Linked DNA regions of Saccharomyces cerevisiae S288C. The protein of the gene in region 1 purifies or fractionates together with the protein of each later gene. This does not show direct contact. Each region holds a gene or a part of one and is shown in the gene's direction. Other genes may lie near its edges.

Region 1 (4,233 bases):
CGCAACAGCAACAGCAGCAAAATATATCGAGACCATACCATAGTAGCATGTACAATCTTAACCAGCCTTCATCCAGTTCATCTTCTCCTTCCACGATGGATTTTCCAAAATTACCAAGCTTTCAAAACTCTTCCTTTAATGGTCGTCCTCCACCCATTTCCATTTCACCGAACAAGTTCAGTAAGCCATTTACAAATGCATCCTCAAGGACCCCTAAACAGGAGCACAAAATTAACAATAGTGGCAGCAATAATAATGACAACAGCAACTACACTCAGTCACCATCTAATTCTTTGGAAGACTCTATTCAGCAGACTGTCAAAGCAAGAAGGAAATTGTCCGCCAGACCGGTACTTCGTGTGAGAATTCCGAACAACAATTTCAGCAGTAATTCCGCTATTCCAAGTGAACCCTCCTCTGCCTCCTCCACATCGGCCAACGGCAATAGTATGGGCTCTTCGCAGATAATGAAAGAAAACAAAACAAGTAGGTCTAGCAAAATTTCTCCACTATCCGCATCTGCCTCAGGCCCCTTAACTCTCCAAAAAGGTAATAATGGCAGAATGGTAATAAAATTGCCAAATGCAAATGCGCCTAACGGTTCTAACAATGGTAATGGCAGTAACAATAACAATCACCCTTATCCTTTCGGAAGTGGGTCTTCACCTCTTTTTTCTGCAACACAGCCATACATTGCCACTCCCTTGCAACCATCGAATATTCCTGGCGGACCTTTCCAACAAAATACATCTTTTTTAGCTCAAAGACAAACCCAGCAATACCAACAAATGTCTTTCAAAAAACAGAGCCAAACAGTACCATTAACTACAACATTAACCGGACGCCCCCCTTCAACTTTTTCCGGCCCTGAAACCAGCAATGGCCCTCCAACTGGTTCACTGCCATCGAAGTTCGTACATGATTTGATGAGTAATTCTCCAAATGTTTCTTCTATATCGATGTTTCCAGACTGGTCAATGGGACCCAACAGTGCCAAGCCGGGAAACACAAACAATCCTGGTACTTTCCCTCCCGTACAGACGGCCGTAAACAACGGCAACTCCAGCAATATCAGCAGCACTAACAACACTAACAACAACAACAACAATAACAACAACAACAGCAGCAACAACAACAGCAACAACGGCAACGACAATAACAGTAACAATAGCAATAACAGTTACTATAGTAATAATGAAGATGCACCCGTAAATGGAGCTGCTATTTCAGAACATACTACCGATGGTGACTCGAACAATCAGTCCAACTCAAGTACATATGATGCTGCTGCCACCGCATATAATGGAAATACCGGGCTGACTCCATACATAAATACTGCTCAAACACCACTAGGCACTAAATTCTTTAATTTTTCGACTGATATTTCAGGAGAAAAAAATTCAAGCAAAATATAAACCAAAAAATTTGACCAGTATGAATATTCCAAGCATAAGAAACTTCTTTTCATTTAAAAAATTTATATTTATATTATTGTAAATGCACATATTTACGTAGTGAATAACCCAAACAAGGAAGAAAAACGAAAAACTCAATTGCATTTTCTGAATAATGATAGTATTTAAGTACTCTTTTGTGCATTAGCAACTAAAATGAATTGCCGCCTGGCCTGGAGTTTGATGTAAGCAGAAGCCGGAAGAAGACAAGAGGTTCATTCAGAGAAAACATCCGTACATTCGAGTTCTCATTGAACCCATACATTTCAACTATTTTTACATAGTTCGTTTTTCATGTGTAAAATTGTCATCGACGCGCCGGAGCATCGGAAAGTTGGAACGTGCGCGATTGCACCAATCCCACTGGGGCCGTGCATTCTGTAGGCAGGAAGCCACTGGACACTCTGCCCGTTCCCACTTGGAAGATTGGCGTAATTCCACGCTCCTCTATCGATTCTAGCGGGAAAGTTATCTCTCCTGGTAAGCGTTGGAGGAATGCCGCTACCTAGGTAAGTCTACTGGGTGGGAATTCCAGTACCGACGTCTAGGAACATCATGATGCTGCAGTTTCTTTGAAATTTCATATACAGTGTTACCAAGGATAAAGTGGTTAATGCTTATTCGTCATTGAATTTTTATATTTGCTTAAGAGAAGTGACAAAAGAGTGAAGACAGACTATACATCATGAAGGTATGATTTATGATACTATTATTGAGGGGCAACAGAGAACTTTATATGTGGAAAAATGGCATGAAAGTTTGAAAGTGAGAAAGAACTAAACAGAACCAGACGTCGTAAAGATTTTAGAAATTTTTTATGGAAAGAAGCAGGAAGACTACCATATACTAATTGATGCGTTTGTGGCGTTATTTTTAAACAAACAGAGCGGGTTTACATATACTGTTACTACAAACCGTGAAATTGAAGCAGTTCATATACTTGGAGTATAGTCAATAAAAGACAAGCTTTTTCATCTTCCACTTAATAATTTCTCTAGAGTAATAAACTTCACCCTATTCAAACATTAATTTTGCAATAGTATACTAACAAATTTTCTTAATAACCTGTTGAAAATTTAAAATAGTTGAACATTTCTTACCCAGTTAACGGGTCTCAAAAGACCTTCGAAATTGATGATGAACACCGTATTCGTGTTTTCTTCGACAAGAGAATCGGTCAAGAAGTCGATGGTGAAGCCGTTGGTGACGAATTCAAGGGTTACGTCTTCAAGATCTCTGGTGGTAACGACAAACAAGGTTTCCCAATGAAGCAAGGTGTTTTGTTGCCAACTAGAATCAAGTTGTTGTTGACCAAGAACGTTTCTTGTTACAGACCAAGACGTGATGGTGAAAGAAAGAGAAAGTCCGTCAGAGGTGCCATTGTTGGTCCAGATTTGGCTGTCTTGGCTTTGGTCATTGTCAAGAAGGGTGAGCAAGAATTGGAAGGTCTAACTGACACTACTGTTCCAAAGAGATTGGGTCCAAAGAGAGCTAACAACATCAGAAAGTTCTTCGGTTTGTCCAAGGAAGATGACGTTCGTGATTTCGTCATCAGAAGAGAAGTCACCAAGGGTGAAAAGACTTACACCAAGGCTCCAAAGATCCAAAGATTGGTTACTCCTCAAAGATTGCAAAGAAAGAGACACCAAAGAGCTTTGAAGGTCAGAAACGCTCAAGCTCAAAGAGAAGCTGCTGCCGAATACGCTCAATTGTTGGCTAAGAGATTGTCTGAAAGAAAGGCTGAGAAGGCTGAAATCAGAAAGAGAAGAGCTTCTTCTTTGAAGGCTTAAAGTTAGAAAGCAGTAAAAGATAAATTCTTTTGTTCAAAAACTCCTTTCTTATTCTGTATTTTGTGTATTTTTAAGCTTAAAATCAAATAACTTTATTTTTTATATAATTAACAAAAAGAAAAATAATCATATGTATTGTAAACGAGAGTCGGAATGTATCCTCAACTGAATATCCAAGCGAGTCCACAGTAGCTAATAGTCTGAAAAAAAAAGGAACCCTTGTCCTTGAACAGAAATGACAAAATTACTACGTATTTCAGGATGCTATATAAGATTGTTTACAAGAGTACAAAAGTCCAGTATAGCAACAGCAGATTGGACGTCTAGTTTCGTTGCTTCATCTCATAGTAACCAATTCTTCTGCGCTAGTCGGATGAATAGCAACACAATTATCGAAATCAGCCTTAGTGGCACCCATCTTTATAGCAACACCGAACCCTTGCAAGATTTCTGCAGAGGAATCACCAACAATGTGCAGACCGACAACCTTTTCATTTGGTCCCGCACAAACAATTTTATATCTTGTGGGTGATTTCTCACTCAACATAGCATAGTACATGGCGGTAAATTTGGAATTGTAGACCTTTATATTCTCCTTACCGTACTTTTCAATGGCTTCCTTCTCAGAAATACCAATGGAACCGGCTTCAGGATGTGAGAAAATTACGCTGGGGACGTTCTCGTAATCTAGTTTGTCATTACGGAATTTCTCTGGACCAAACAGTCTATTAGACAGCTTTCTGCCCGCTGCAATAGCGACAGGTGTCAATTCAACTTTTCCAACAACGTCACCTAGAGAATAAATGTTTGGAACATTGGTGTTCTGATATTCATCAGCAATTATTTGGTCATGAGAGTTCAGCTTTATACCTACATTTTCTGAACCCATACCTAGATGGGATTTACGTCCAATTGTCCAAATTAATTCGTCAACGTCATCGATGGACTTTGAGTCATTCATATGTATTTTCAGTTTGTCAGTTTCTACA
Region 2 (3,572 bases), on another chromosome or scaffold:
AAGTCTTCTAACATCACTATCTCCAACGCTGTCGGTAGATTGTCTTCTGAAGAAATTGAAAAGATGGTTAACCAAGCCGAAGAGTTCAAGGCTGCTGATGAAGCTTTTGCTAAGAAGCACGAAGCTAGACAAAGACTAGAATCCTACGTCGCTTCCATCGAACAAACCGTCACTGACCCAGTCTTGTCTTCTAAATTGAAGAGAGGTTCCAAGTCCAAGATCGAAGCTGCTTTGTCCGATGCTTTGGCTGCTTTGCAAATCGAAGACCCATCCGCTGATGAGTTGAGAAAGGCAGAAGTTGGTTTGAAGAGAGTTGTCACCAAGGCCATGTCTTCTCGTTAAGATGTCATTCTGGTTAAGGTTATACACATATATATATTTTTCATTTTTAATGTCTTAGCTTTTGTATCTTAGATGAAGTTTTAGTTCTGTATATCACGATCAAGATATCATACAATCATAAATTCAATTATTCTTCTGTTTCCCCTCTTGAGGCATCAAACGAGTGTTTGACTGATACACACCAACATACTAAGGCAACTTTTCTGGCTGCCCAAAGCTGTGGCACGTATGAAACTGCTTTTCGGCTGCATAAAACAACCATGTGGAGTTTTTACTGTATTCGCATTTCGCCCCGCTAGCATTCTTCGTTCATGCTAAAAATGAGGCGTGGGCTAATATTCAGTATTAATAATTCCGGCACCCGCACAGCCCATACCGGAAAAGGGGCTGGCTGTTGGGCTTGGCAAAAAACTCAATCTGAGCAGTCATTTATAAAGAAAGACTTTAATTTGTCTTGCTAAACACTTGTAAGCCTTCCAAATATAGATCACTTAAGACAATCTAACAAGTGTCCAAAATGTCTGCAAACGAATTCTACTCAAGTGGCCAACAAGGTCAATATAACCAGCAAAACAACCAAGAAAGAACTGGTGCTCCAAACAACGGTCAATATGGTGCCGACAATGGTAACCCCAACGGTGAACGTGGTTTATTTTCCACTATTGTAGGTGGCAGTGCCGGTGCGTACGCTGGATCTAAGGTGTCGAACAACCATTCTAAGTTGAGTGGTGTGCTGGGCGCCATAGGTGGTGCATTCCTTGCCAACAAGATATCTGATGAGCGTAAAGAGCATAAGCAACAAGAGCAATACGGCAACTCAAACTTCGGAGGTGCTCCTCAAGGTGGACACAACAACCATCACCGTCAGGACAATAACAACAATAACGGTGGATTTGGCGGTCCAGGCGGCCCTGGCGGTCAAGGTTTCGGAAGACAAGGCCCACAAGGATTTGGAGGTCCTGGTCCACAAGAGTTTGGTGGTCCAGGTGGCCAAGGATTCGGTGGTCCAAATCCTCAAGAATTCGGCGGGCCAGGTGGCCAAGGATTCGGTGGTCCAAACCCTCAGGAATTCGGGGGCCAAGGTCGTCAAGGATTCAATGGCGGTTCACGTTGGTGAATGGCTCAACAGAGTGAGTGTCATTTTTAGCTAACTACATACTTGATTTATCTATATATACATATATACTACTCGTTTTATTATGATGTCGTAACAAATGACTTATTCGAGAAAAGAAAACGTGAAAAAATAAGCTAAAAATTTGGCGATGAGGTTCTCTGTTGAAGTTGGAACCCGCAATTCATGATTTTGGTAAGGTCAAGGATCATCAGTAATTAGCTTAAAGTAAGAACTACTCAATAATATTAAACCATTTATCCTTGGCTCGTCTTTCTATTGACCAATCAATACTATTTTAAACATCTCTTCTACCACATACTTTCAATCAGACTAGAATGAAATTGGATACTTCTCATATGAGATATTTGACAACTGATGATTTTCGTGTCCTCCAGGCCGTTGAACAAGGTTCTAGAAGTCACGAAGTCGTTCCAACTCCCTTGATTCATCAAATCTCGGGGATGAGATCGCAGTCCGGAACAAACCGAGCCATTAGTGATTTGGCCAAGCTTAGCCTTATTTCCAAAATGAGAAATGTCAAATATGATGGTTACAGGCTAACTTATAACGGTATTGATTATTTGGCTTTGAAAACCATGTTAAACAGAGACACTGTCTATTCTGTCGGTAACACTATTGGTGTTGGTAAGGAATCTGACATCTATAAAGTAAGTGACAAAAATGGAAACCCTAGAGTAATGAAAATTCACAGATTAGGTAGAACCTCTTTTCATTCCGTCAGAAATAATAGAGATTATCTGAAGAAATCCAACCAGGGGGCAAACTGGATGCATCTTTCACGTTTGGCAGCCAATAAAGAATATCAGTTTATGTCCATGCTTTATTCTAAGGGTTTCAAGGTCCCTGAGCCATTCGATAACTCGCGTCATATAGTCGTTATGGAGCTTATCGAGGGTTACCCAATGAGGAGATTAAGAAAACATAAGAATATACCCAAGCTTTATAGTGATCTGATGTGTTTCATCGTTGATCTAGCAAATAGCGGACTTATCCATTGTGATTTTAATGAGTTTAATATTATGATAAAGGACAAACTAGAGGATGAAAACGATTGTGGGTTCGTAGTTATTGATTTTCCACAATGTATATCTATTCAACACCAAGACGCCGACTATTATTTCCAAAGGGATGTTGACTGTATTCGTCGTTTCTTCAAAAAGAAACTGAAGTACGAACCAAAACCTGATTCATCAATGCTCGACACTGAAGGTTTCGGCGATGGTTATAAATATGCGTATCCAGATTTCAAAAGGGACGTTAAAAGAACCGACAATTTGGATGAATTGGTGCAGGCTTCCGGATTTAGCAAAAAGCATCCAGGAGATAGGGGCCTGGAAACTGCCGTTGAAAGCATGAGAAATGCTGTTTATAATTCAGATGACGATATGTCTAATGACGAGGCCGAAGAAGAAAATGGGGAGGGCGATTATTCAGAGGAGGATGAATACTATGACTCCGAACTTGATAATGAAAGTTCTGAAGATGACAGTGAAGATGCACAAGAAGAGGAGAACGAACGTATTATAGAGGCGCTTTCCAGTGGTGTTGAAAATCTAAAAATGGATAAACTAGGAAACTATATACTAGAGTAGTTTAGTTTAGACGACTGCATAAATGGCCGCAAATAATCAAGTTGTTATCCATAATTTTTTTGATTTTTAAGCCATGTTATTCTTCAGGATAAAAAAAGTGGTATTTATGAACTCTTACATATGCGTATTCATGCTATATTATAATATCGAATCTAAGTCAATCGTATTCTACTCCGGATCCATCCTCATCATCTTCATCGTCATCATTATCAATTTCTATCGGAATATCTTCGAGTTCTAACGGCTCCTTAAACTCTTTGTATTGGAGTTCCTGTTCTGGTTGACCATTTATAGAAGCAAAACTATTATCTCTATTCAAAGCGCTTTGGCCCTTTTTGTCTTCCTCTTCATCGTCTTCTTCATCATCTTCTTCTGCTTCCTCTCCGTCTTCTGCACCGTCTGAGGATTCTTGGCCACTCCCATCGGAAAGGTCGCTCTCAGCTTCGAAATTTTGGTCATTTTCTTCATCATCGTCTGAAAACACACCTGCCTTTTTCTCG
Region 3 (5,561 bases), on another chromosome or scaffold:
ATAGTATTATTATTTCTTTTCCATTTTATATGTTTCACTATCCTACTATTTCATCGATCCTCTTATTTAAGCTTTTATTAAACCTAATGACTGTTCTATAACTTTTATGTCCTCTTTTTACATCATAAATGATAATTAATATACTAGTGACATGAATACTAATCGATGGATGGTAGTTTGTTCTTATTCTATCAGGGAAATGCATCAGATAATGGATAAAATGGAAAGAATGGAAAGGAATTGTAACATGCCTATATATGGAAAACGAGCTTTTAGAGCTTTCAAGTTAACCCCGGGCGGTTAGTGTAGTGGTTATCATCCCACCCTTCCAAGGTGGGGACACGGGTTCGATTCTCGTACCGCTCAAGATTACTTTTTTAATTTTCATACTTTTTCTCCTAATATCTTGCAAATCATGACTGAATTGACATTAACTGATGCAAATGGGTGGGAAAAATGCTTATCAACCCCCTAAAAAGTCAACTTCTTCGTTAGTGATTGCTATATGTGGCGTCAAGAATTACAAGAAGCTGGCGAGCTTTCCAAGCCCCTTCAGGATTAACCGTTTTTTACCCTTTTTTTACAAATTTACGGCGGGGAATAATTCTGATACTTTCTCTTTATGAGCATTCCTCAACAGGGATCGGCACTCAATTGCTTTAGTGAATAGTTTTTTTTTACGCCAAGAACATTTACCACCCCATTTTCCTGTAGACGTCCAAAACGATACTCTACTTTAAGCCCTTTTTCTGAAGTTTTCATAAAATGTCCGATCTCCTAACGTCATTTTTAAAATCAAATGGTCTTTTAATAATTATGCACGTTAAAAAACATACATAATTGATAGTAAAGAATCTGGTATTCTATCAGTTACCAAGTTCAATCGTAAATTTTTTTACGAGCACTAATAGAAATGGATCATGAAATTGATTTTTTGATTTTCAATTTATGAACTACCCAGATATATAAATATTGGAATAAATTGTGTATTAAGTAGTCGGGAAATATCTTTTATGTTCTCTTTCTTATCATCTAGAAATAATAAATCACAACCAAAAAAATCAACTAACTATCAAAATGTCTGCTACCTCTACTGCTACTTCCACAAGTGCCTCTCAATTGCACTTAAACTCTACTCCAGTTACTCACTGCTTATCTGACATCGTTAAGAAAGAAGATTGGTCTGACTTTAAATTTGCTCCCATCCGCGAATCCACTGTCTCTCGTGCTATGACTTCTCGTTATTTCAAGGATCTTGACAAGTTTGCCGTTTCTGACGTGATTATTGTCGGTGCGGGCTCTTCAGGTTTATCCGCCGCTTACGTCATCGCCAAGAACAGACCAGACTTGAAGGTTTGTATTATCGAAAGTTCAGTTGCACCAGGTGGTGGTAGTTGGTTGGGTGGTCAATTATTTAGTGCCATGGTTATGAGAAAACCAGCTCATTTGTTCTTACAAGAGTTGGAAATCCCTTACGAAGACGAAGGTGACTATGTTGTCGTTAAGCATGCCGCTTTGTTCATCTCTACTGTCCTTTCAAAGGTCTTGCAATTACCAAATGTTAAACTGTTCAATGCTACCTGTGTTGAAGATTTGGTTACCAGACCACCTACCGAAAAGGGCGAAGTCACCGTTGCTGGTGTTGTCACCAACTGGACGTTAGTTACCCAAGCTCACGGTACTCAATGTTGCATGGACCCTAACGTAATTGAATTGGCAGGTTACAAAAATGACGGAACTCGTGACTTGAGTCAAAAGCATGGTGTCATTTTATCCACTACCGGTCATGATGGTCCATTTGGTGCTTTCTGCGCCAAGAGAATCGTCGACATTGATCAAAACCAAAAATTGGGCGGTATGAAGGGTCTGGACATGAACCATGCCGAACACGATGTCGTTATTCACTCTGGTGCATACGCCGGTGTTGACAACATGTACTTTGCTGGTATGGAAGTTGCTGAACTGGATGGATTAAACCGTATGGGTCCAACTTTTGGAGCTATGGCTTTGAGTGGTGTTCATGCTGCTGAGCAAATTTTGAAACACTTTGCTGCTTAGGCTTTTAATGAGGTATGCTTTTAAAGATTTATATATTTTTTATACACGCTATATACACAATTTTCGCTGATGATTTTGTTTTATTATTGATTTTTAAATTAACCGTAGAAAATACTAAGTGGAAAGATCCGATAGTGATGAGATAAGACTTTTAGTTATCTCTGTAATGGTGAGTTTTCGCACATCTTGCAATATTAAAAATATAAATCAATTCTTCAAATGTCACTTCATGGTCGGGTAACCAAATATGATCTTAAAAAAAATTAAGAAAAAAAAAAATTGAAAATTTTGAGCTAAGCTCATCTCATCTCATCGGCTGTAATCAGTAACACATCATTTATTACATCAGTTACAGGTATCAACATATATCTTCAAAAAGGGGACATTATGGTTTTGAAATCTACTTCCGCAAATGATGTTTCAGTATATCAGGTTTCTGGTACAAACGTTTCAAGATCACTTCCAGACTGGATTGCGAAAAAGCGCAAAAGGCAATTAAAGAATGATTTAGAATATCAAAATAGAGTAGAACTGATTCAAGATTTTGAATTTAGCGAAGCCTCCAATAAGATTAAAGTGAGTAGAGATGGGCAATATTGCATGGCTACCGGTACATACAAACCTCAGATCCATGTCTACGATTTTGCTAATTTGTCACTGAAGTTCGATAGACACACAGATGCTGAAAACGTGGATTTCACTATTCTCTCTGACGATTGGACTAAAAGTGTACATTTACAAAATGATAGAAGTATTCAATTCCAAAACAAAGGTGGTCTACATTACACCACAAGAATTCCTAAATTTGGGAGAAGTTTAGTTTACAATAAGGTAAACTGTGATTTATATGTTGGTGCGAGCGGTAATGAGTTATACAGGTTGAACTTGGAAAAGGGGAGATTTTTAAACCCATTCAAGTTGGATACTGAAGGCGTGAACCATGTTTCTATCAATGAAGTAAATGGGTTGTTAGCGGCAGGCACGGAAACAAATGTAGTGGAATTCTGGGATCCAAGGTCGCGTTCCCGTGTTTCAAAGCTATATTTAGAGAACAATATTGACAACAGACCATTCCAAGTCACCACAACCAGTTTCCGTAATGACGGGTTAACTTTTGCATGTGGTACGTCGAACGGTTATTCATACATTTATGACTTGCGTACTTCTGAACCTTCCATTATTAAAGACCAAGGTTATGGGTTTGACATTAAGAAAATTATTTGGTTGGATAACGTCGGCACGGAAAATAAAATTGTTACATGTGACAAGAGAATTGCAAAAATATGGGATAGACTAGATGGTAAGGCATACGCTTCTATGGAGCCTAGTGTTGATATTAACGACATTGAGCATGTACCAGGTACAGGTATGTTTTTCACCGCTAACGAAAGTATTCCCATGCATACATATTATATTCCAAGTTTAGGACCATCTCCACGCTGGTGCTCATTCTTGGATTCTATCACAGAAGAATTAGAAGAAAAACCAAGTGACACTGTTTACTCTAACTACAGGTTCATTACTAGAGACGACGTTAAAAAATTGAATTTAACGCACTTGGTGGGATCCAGAGTATTAAGAGCATACATGCATGGTTTCTTTATTAACACTGAACTTTACGATAAGGTTTCATTAATTGCTAATCCAGATGCCTACAAAGATGAAAGAGAAAGAGAAATTAGACGTAGAATTGAGAAAGAAAGAGAATCCAGAATCAGAAGTTCAGGGGCTGTTCAAAAACCTAAAATTAAAGTCAATAAAACATTGGTTGATAAACTATCTCAAAAACGTGGTGATAAAGTTGCAGGAAAGGTTCTTACGGATGACCGTTTCAAAGAAATGTTTGAGGATGAAGAATTTCAAGTCGATGAAGATGACTATGATTTCAAACAATTGAATCCAGTAAAATCCATCAAAGAAACCGAAGAAGGTGCTGCTAAACGTATTAGGGCGCTAACTGCTGCCGAAGAGTCCGACGAAGAAAGAATTGCAATGAAGGATGGCAGAGGTCACTATGACTACGAGGATGAAGAGTCTGATGAAGAAGAATCTGATGATGAAACGAACCAAAAGTCAAATAAGGAAGAATTAAGTGAAAAAGATTTGAGAAAGATGGAAAAGCAAAAGGCACTAATTGAACGCAGAAAGAAGGAAAAGGAGCAAAGCGAACGTTTTATGAACGAAATGAAAGCCGGCACTTCCACGAGTACGCAAAGAGACGAAAGTGCTCACGTTACATTTGGCGAACAAGTAGGCGAATTGCTTGAGGTGGAAAATGGAAAGAAATCAAATGAATCCATTTTACGTCGTAACCAACGCGGTGAAGCAGAACTTACTTTTATTCCTCAAAGAAAAAGCAAAAAAGACGGAAATTATAAATCCAGGCGTCATGATAATTCATCGGATGAAGAAGGTATTGACGAAAATGGTAATAAGAAGGACAATGGTAGGTCGAAGCCCAGATTCGAAAATAGAAGAAGAGCTAGCAAAAATGCGTTCCGTGGTATGTAGTTATATTAGAAATTGATATTTTAATTATCCTTTCACCTTAAACTAAAAATATTATATGTATGAAGACGAAGACAGCAAAAAGTATGCGTGATACAGTTTACATTATAGAATTCTTTCCCCAAATATTGAGGGTTTTGTTTTTTTTTTTTAATGCAGATGTACGTACATATTTTCTTTATCAAAAGGATGTGTAGAGAACTATGTATATATGTATATGTGTAGGTTTTTTTTTTTTAGGATGACTAGAAAAGGAAATCGAAAAAGAAAAAATAAGCATGAATCATGAGTAGGTTAAAGGCAAGTCGAAGAAGATACGAAGCAAGTGAAGCCGTTTAACTGGAGGATAGTCTAAACCATAGGTTGTAGTTATTCTCAATGATCTGATCTGAGATCAAATGATCATCAATTAGATCGTTTGATCGTGGCAAGTTGTTTTCGTAACCCAAATGTGCCTTTGAATGCAATTGGTAACTAGAATCGAGTCTAAGAGAGTCGGCTAAGTTCAAATAATGTTCATTTTCATCATATTCGTCAACACGAGAAGGATTAGACTCCTGCTTAGGATTGACTATACCATCCTGAGGTAGCAGCAATGGTGAAATTAATAAGGACTCTAGCTTCTCCAACTCGTCAAAGGGGATAGTTGAAGATGTCGGAGATGAAGATAGTGAGGTAGTCGGCTCGAAGAGGTTTGATGCAGTTAAATTTTTAGAATATGAAAGCGGTGGAGTGAGATTATGCGAATGAGAAGTTTTTGATTTTTTATGCAAGTGGGATAATAATTTCTCATTAAGAGGGTTCGAATCCTTCAGCTTACAATCTTCGGAGCAATATAACTTATTTGATTGTAAACTGCTCTTGGTTTCATTGTCCCTTTGGATCTTCCTGGTATTAATGTTCGTTTTCTGTGGAGATGTTGGAATGAGACGATCACAAACAGTGCAGTAATCGTTGAATGCGGTGCTCATTATATGATTGATATGCAAATCGGT
Region 4 (3,749 bases), on another chromosome or scaffold:
CGGCTCAACAAAGCGTTAATTGCCACATCGGAATTTAGCACCTTCTTGATCTCTGGCGTGCTAAAAAGGTGCGCCAAATCGTCGGTGCCACCATCGTGCGACGACTTCGCACTTACTGTGGCACTAGCTGGTTTCTTCGCAGTCTCTTCCATCTTGTCTATATCACTTCTCTTTTAATCTTCCGAGATTGTATGTTTTTACTTTACATACTATTTTGTTCACATTCTTTATTTTCTGGGTTCTTTTTCCATATATATCGAAAAAAAAGTCTATATAATGGCACAAATGGTGAATGCCAGCACAAGAAAAGGGGCGTATCTATATAAATCTATGCATCCTTGATCCTAGTTTGGCATGGGCTTGAGTGCGTACATCCTCACTGGGTACAATTCTCTTGGTAAGCCACGTTGTCTTTCACTGGCGATGAGCTTTAGGCCAGCTTCTTCGAAGATTTGCCTGAACTTAGCATCTGACCTTGTGACCGAAGAATCCGTTTCGTCGAAATCATCGGTATCTGTAGGTGTGTTATTTTCTTTGACCACGATTGTCCCATTAGGTTGCAAACCAACAATACATCTTTTCAGGAATGCGACGAGTTCTGCATCTGGCAGGTGTCCCACGCACCATTGGCACCAGATCAGCCAGTACTTGCCGGCATCGGGGGTCCAGTCCTGCATCCCTACTTCATATATTTGTCCAATTTGGCCTTTGTCTTTCAGCTCAGCCAATTCAACGTGCATTTGCTCGATAAAAGGCTTTACCGGTTCTACAAGGTCTATCTTAGCGGCGTGCTTGTGAAGCATGGTCTTGCTTACACGTCCAATCCCCGCACCAATGTCTACAGCGTACTTCACGTTGTTCTCCTGAGGCAGCATCCTCGACTTCAGTTTACGCAGGAAGTTATTGGATCCCAGGACATCCATTGTGGGTACTACTGTACCTTCTCCGTATCCACCTAGAACACCATCCACAGTGGCGTCCACATCCGTCCAATAGTCGATGGCATCTTCGTATTTGATATGGGAATCTGCAGGCACGTCCATCGTTGTTGTTTATGTATTCTTTCTTGGAGATGCTCTTGACACCGATGCACATTACCAGAGTGAAAAGTACTGATTAATAATTAAATTTTTCTTTTGATATTTTTTCTGAATATAAAGTTCTACACAGAGTCGTTACAATAGGTTATATACATGAGGATGTTCGTTACAGTAGGAGAAATAGAAAGCTCGCTAATTCTTACCCCAGGAGTAGATCCAATCGACAGAGTTTCTTATCTGTTCATTCCAAATATCTTTTATGCTCTCCCCCATGGTCCTGCTCCATGCAGTGCCATCATCCGTCACAACTAGCTTGCGGTTCCTGGTCTCCCCAGGTACCACTTCTTTTCTATCCACCAGGTCCTGTACCTGATGATCTTGTTTCAACCATGTAGCATCGTGATCGTAGAAGTAGCCATTGTTACTGTATCGGTACAGGTAAAAAACAGAACCGATTACTCCCACAGAGAGAGTCCACTTCACAGATCTTGCTAACGGACCCAATTTCGACATGATTCTCTCCGTTATCTGCTGGTTCTTAGTCCACTGTCTGTTCTGTCCCCCTTCTGTCCAAGAGATAGAATATAAAAAAGACTCATTATTTTTTTTTAGGTACTTCGCTTATTGGTGGTCAATGAGAAAAAAAATACTAAAAGCCATCGCCTCTTGGAGAAGAGCAAACTATCAAAAATCATCAAGCCGACATTTCCACATCGAGTCTCATAGTCTTTCAATCATGTTTCCCAGAGCTTCTGCATTGGCCAAATGTATGGCAACTGTTCATCGTCGTGGGCTACTCACCAGTGGTGCACAATCGCTAGTCTCCAAACCAGTCTCGGAGGGAGATCCAGAGATGTTTGACATCTTGCAACAAGAACGTCACAGACAAAAACACTCTATCACCCTTATCCCATCAGAAAACTTCACCTCGAAGGCCGTTATGGATTTGCTAGGTTCTGAGCTCCAAAACAAGTATTCTGAAGGTTATCCAGGTGAAAGATACTACGGAGGTAACGAAATCATCGATAAGTCCGAATCCTTGTGTCAAGCAAGAGCTCTGGAACTGTACGGATTAGACCCTGCCAAGTGGGGAGTTAATGTTCAACCATTAAGCGGGGCACCTGCCAATTTGTATGTTTACTCCGCTATCATGAACGTTGGTGAAAGATTAATGGGATTGGATTTGCCAGATGGTGGTCACTTGTCTCACGGGTACCAACTTAAGTCAGGAACGCCAATTTCTTTCATTTCCAAATACTTCCAAAGTATGCCATACCATGTCGACCACACTACGGGGCTAATCGATTACGATAACTTGCAAGTATTGGCCAAGGCATTCAGACCAAAGGTGATCGTGGCCGGTACTTCCGCGTACTCGAGATTAATAGACTACGCTAGATTCAAGGAAATTTCCCAAGGATGCGGCGCATATTTGATGAGTGATATGGCACACATATCCGGTTTGGTGGCAGCCAATGTTGTCCCATCTCCATTTGAACATTCCGATATAGTTACCACAACCACTCACAAGTCCTTGAGAGGCCCAAGAGGTGCTATGATTTTCTTCAGAAAGGGTATCAAGTCTGTCACCAAAAAGGGCAAGGAAATCCCATATGAGTTAGAAAAGAAAATCAACTTCTCAGTTTTCCCAGGACATCAAGGTGGTCCTCACAACCATACTATCGGTGCAATGGCAGTGGCATTAAAGCAAGCGATGTCTCCAGAATTCAAAGAATACCAACAAAAAATTGTCGACAACAGCAAATGGTTTGCTCAGGAACTAACCAAGATGGGTTATAAGTTGGTTTCCGGCGGTACCGATAACCACTTGATTGTTATTGACTTATCCGGTACTCAGGTAGACGGTGCTCGTGTCGAGACAATTTTAAGTGCCTTGAACATTGCTGCTAACAAGAACACCATCCCAGGTGATAAGAGTGCTCTTTTCCCCTCTGGTCTAAGAATCGGTACTCCAGCAATGACCACGAGAGGATTTGGCCGTGAAGAGTTTTCTCAAGTCGCAAAGTACATTGATTCTGCCGTTAAGCTCGCTGAAAATTTGAAAACTTTGGAACCAACAACGAAACTAGATGCAAGATCAAGACTCAATGAGTTCAAGAAGTTGTGTAATGAATCTAGTGAAGTCGCTGCTTTGTCTGGCGAGATTTCCAAGTGGGTCGGTCAATACCCTGTCCCAGGTGATATCTAAGTAATTATGATTTAAAATCAAATACTTTATGTATTAACATATACAGCCACTGCCGCTTTTTTTTTTATTTATTTCCAGTATATTTCCCTGTTCATTGTTCTTTGACAATGTCTTGAATTGACTTTCGGGAACCAAACTGATTATTATTTTATTCAATGTATCGAAATTGTACCCTGTCTTTGCACTTACGGCCACATACGGCAGACCCTGTAACTCCGCCGGTATAGTCACTTCCCCTGAATGCTCTTCGCAGACTAAATCGTACTTATTGCCCACGATAATTACCTGCGTTCCCTGAGCACGGTCCTGTAAATCTTGAAACCATGTCTTTGCACATTGCAGACTGGATACGTCTCCCAATTCGAATACAATCAAAGCAATATTCGCATCTCGATAATACATTGGCACCAGTGATTTATACCGTTCCTGACCCGCCGTGTCCCATATCTCCATATGGATACGTTTCTCCGTAGAGGAGTCGTTAGAAGGAACCTCGATTG

Evidence for each region.
Region 2: the proteins of RPS6A (region 1) and RIO2 purify together in Saccharomyces cerevisiae (affinity purification with mass spectrometry; 5 studies listed by BioGRID). This does not show direct contact.
Region 3: the proteins of RPS6A (region 1) and ENP2 purify together in Saccharomyces cerevisiae (affinity purification with mass spectrometry, with the first as the bait; 2 studies listed by BioGRID). This does not show direct contact.
Region 4: the proteins of RPS6A (region 1) and SHM1 purify together in Saccharomyces cerevisiae (affinity purification with mass spectrometry, with the first as the bait; 2 studies listed by BioGRID). This does not show direct contact.

What each region holds. Positions count from the first base shown.
Region 1 is NC_001148.4:376,302-380,534, reverse strand, and holds RPS6A (40S ribosomal protein eS6 RPS6A), read left to right. Parts: upstream 1-2,139; coding exon 2,140-2,145; intron 2,146-2,539; coding exon 2,540-3,244; downstream 3,245-4,233. Other genes in the region: RLM1 (Rlm1p), read left to right, coding at 1-1,415; glutathione-disulfide reductase GLR1, read right to left, coding at 3,582-4,233.
Region 2 is NC_001146.8:253,559-257,130, forward strand, and holds RIO2 (protein kinase RIO2), read left to right. Parts: upstream 1-1,794; coding exon 1,795-3,072; downstream 3,073-3,572. Other genes in the region: Hsp70 family ATPase SSB2, read left to right, coding at 1-342; YNL208W (uncharacterized protein), read left to right, coding at 860-1,459; RTT106 (Rtt106p), read right to left, coding at 3,230-3,572. UniProt on the Saccharomyces cerevisiae protein: Required for the final endonucleolytic cleavage of 20S pre-rRNA at site D in the cytoplasm, converting it into the mature 18S rRNA. Involved in normal export of the pre-40S particles from the nucleus to the cytoplasm.
Region 3 is NC_001139.9:779,322-784,882, forward strand, and holds ENP2 (ribosome biosynthesis protein ENP2), read left to right. Parts: upstream 1-2,445; coding exon 2,446-4,569; downstream 4,570-5,561. Other genes in the region: THI4 (thiamine thiazole synthase), read left to right, coding at 1,078-2,058; ECL1 (Ecl1p), read right to left, coding at 4,902-5,537. UniProt on the Saccharomyces cerevisiae protein: May be involved in rRNA-processing and ribosome biosynthesis.
Region 4 is NC_001134.8:734,488-738,236, forward strand, and holds SHM1 (glycine hydroxymethyltransferase SHM1), read left to right. Parts: upstream 1-1,776; coding exon 1,777-3,249; downstream 3,250-3,749. Other genes in the region: GTPase-activating protein RGD1, read right to left, coding at 1-152; TAE1 (N-terminal protein methyltransferase), read right to left, coding at 345-1,043; MIC12 (Mic12p), read right to left, coding at 1,233-1,553; Rab family GTPase YPT10, read right to left, coding at 3,283-3,749. UniProt on the Saccharomyces cerevisiae protein: Interconversion of serine and glycine.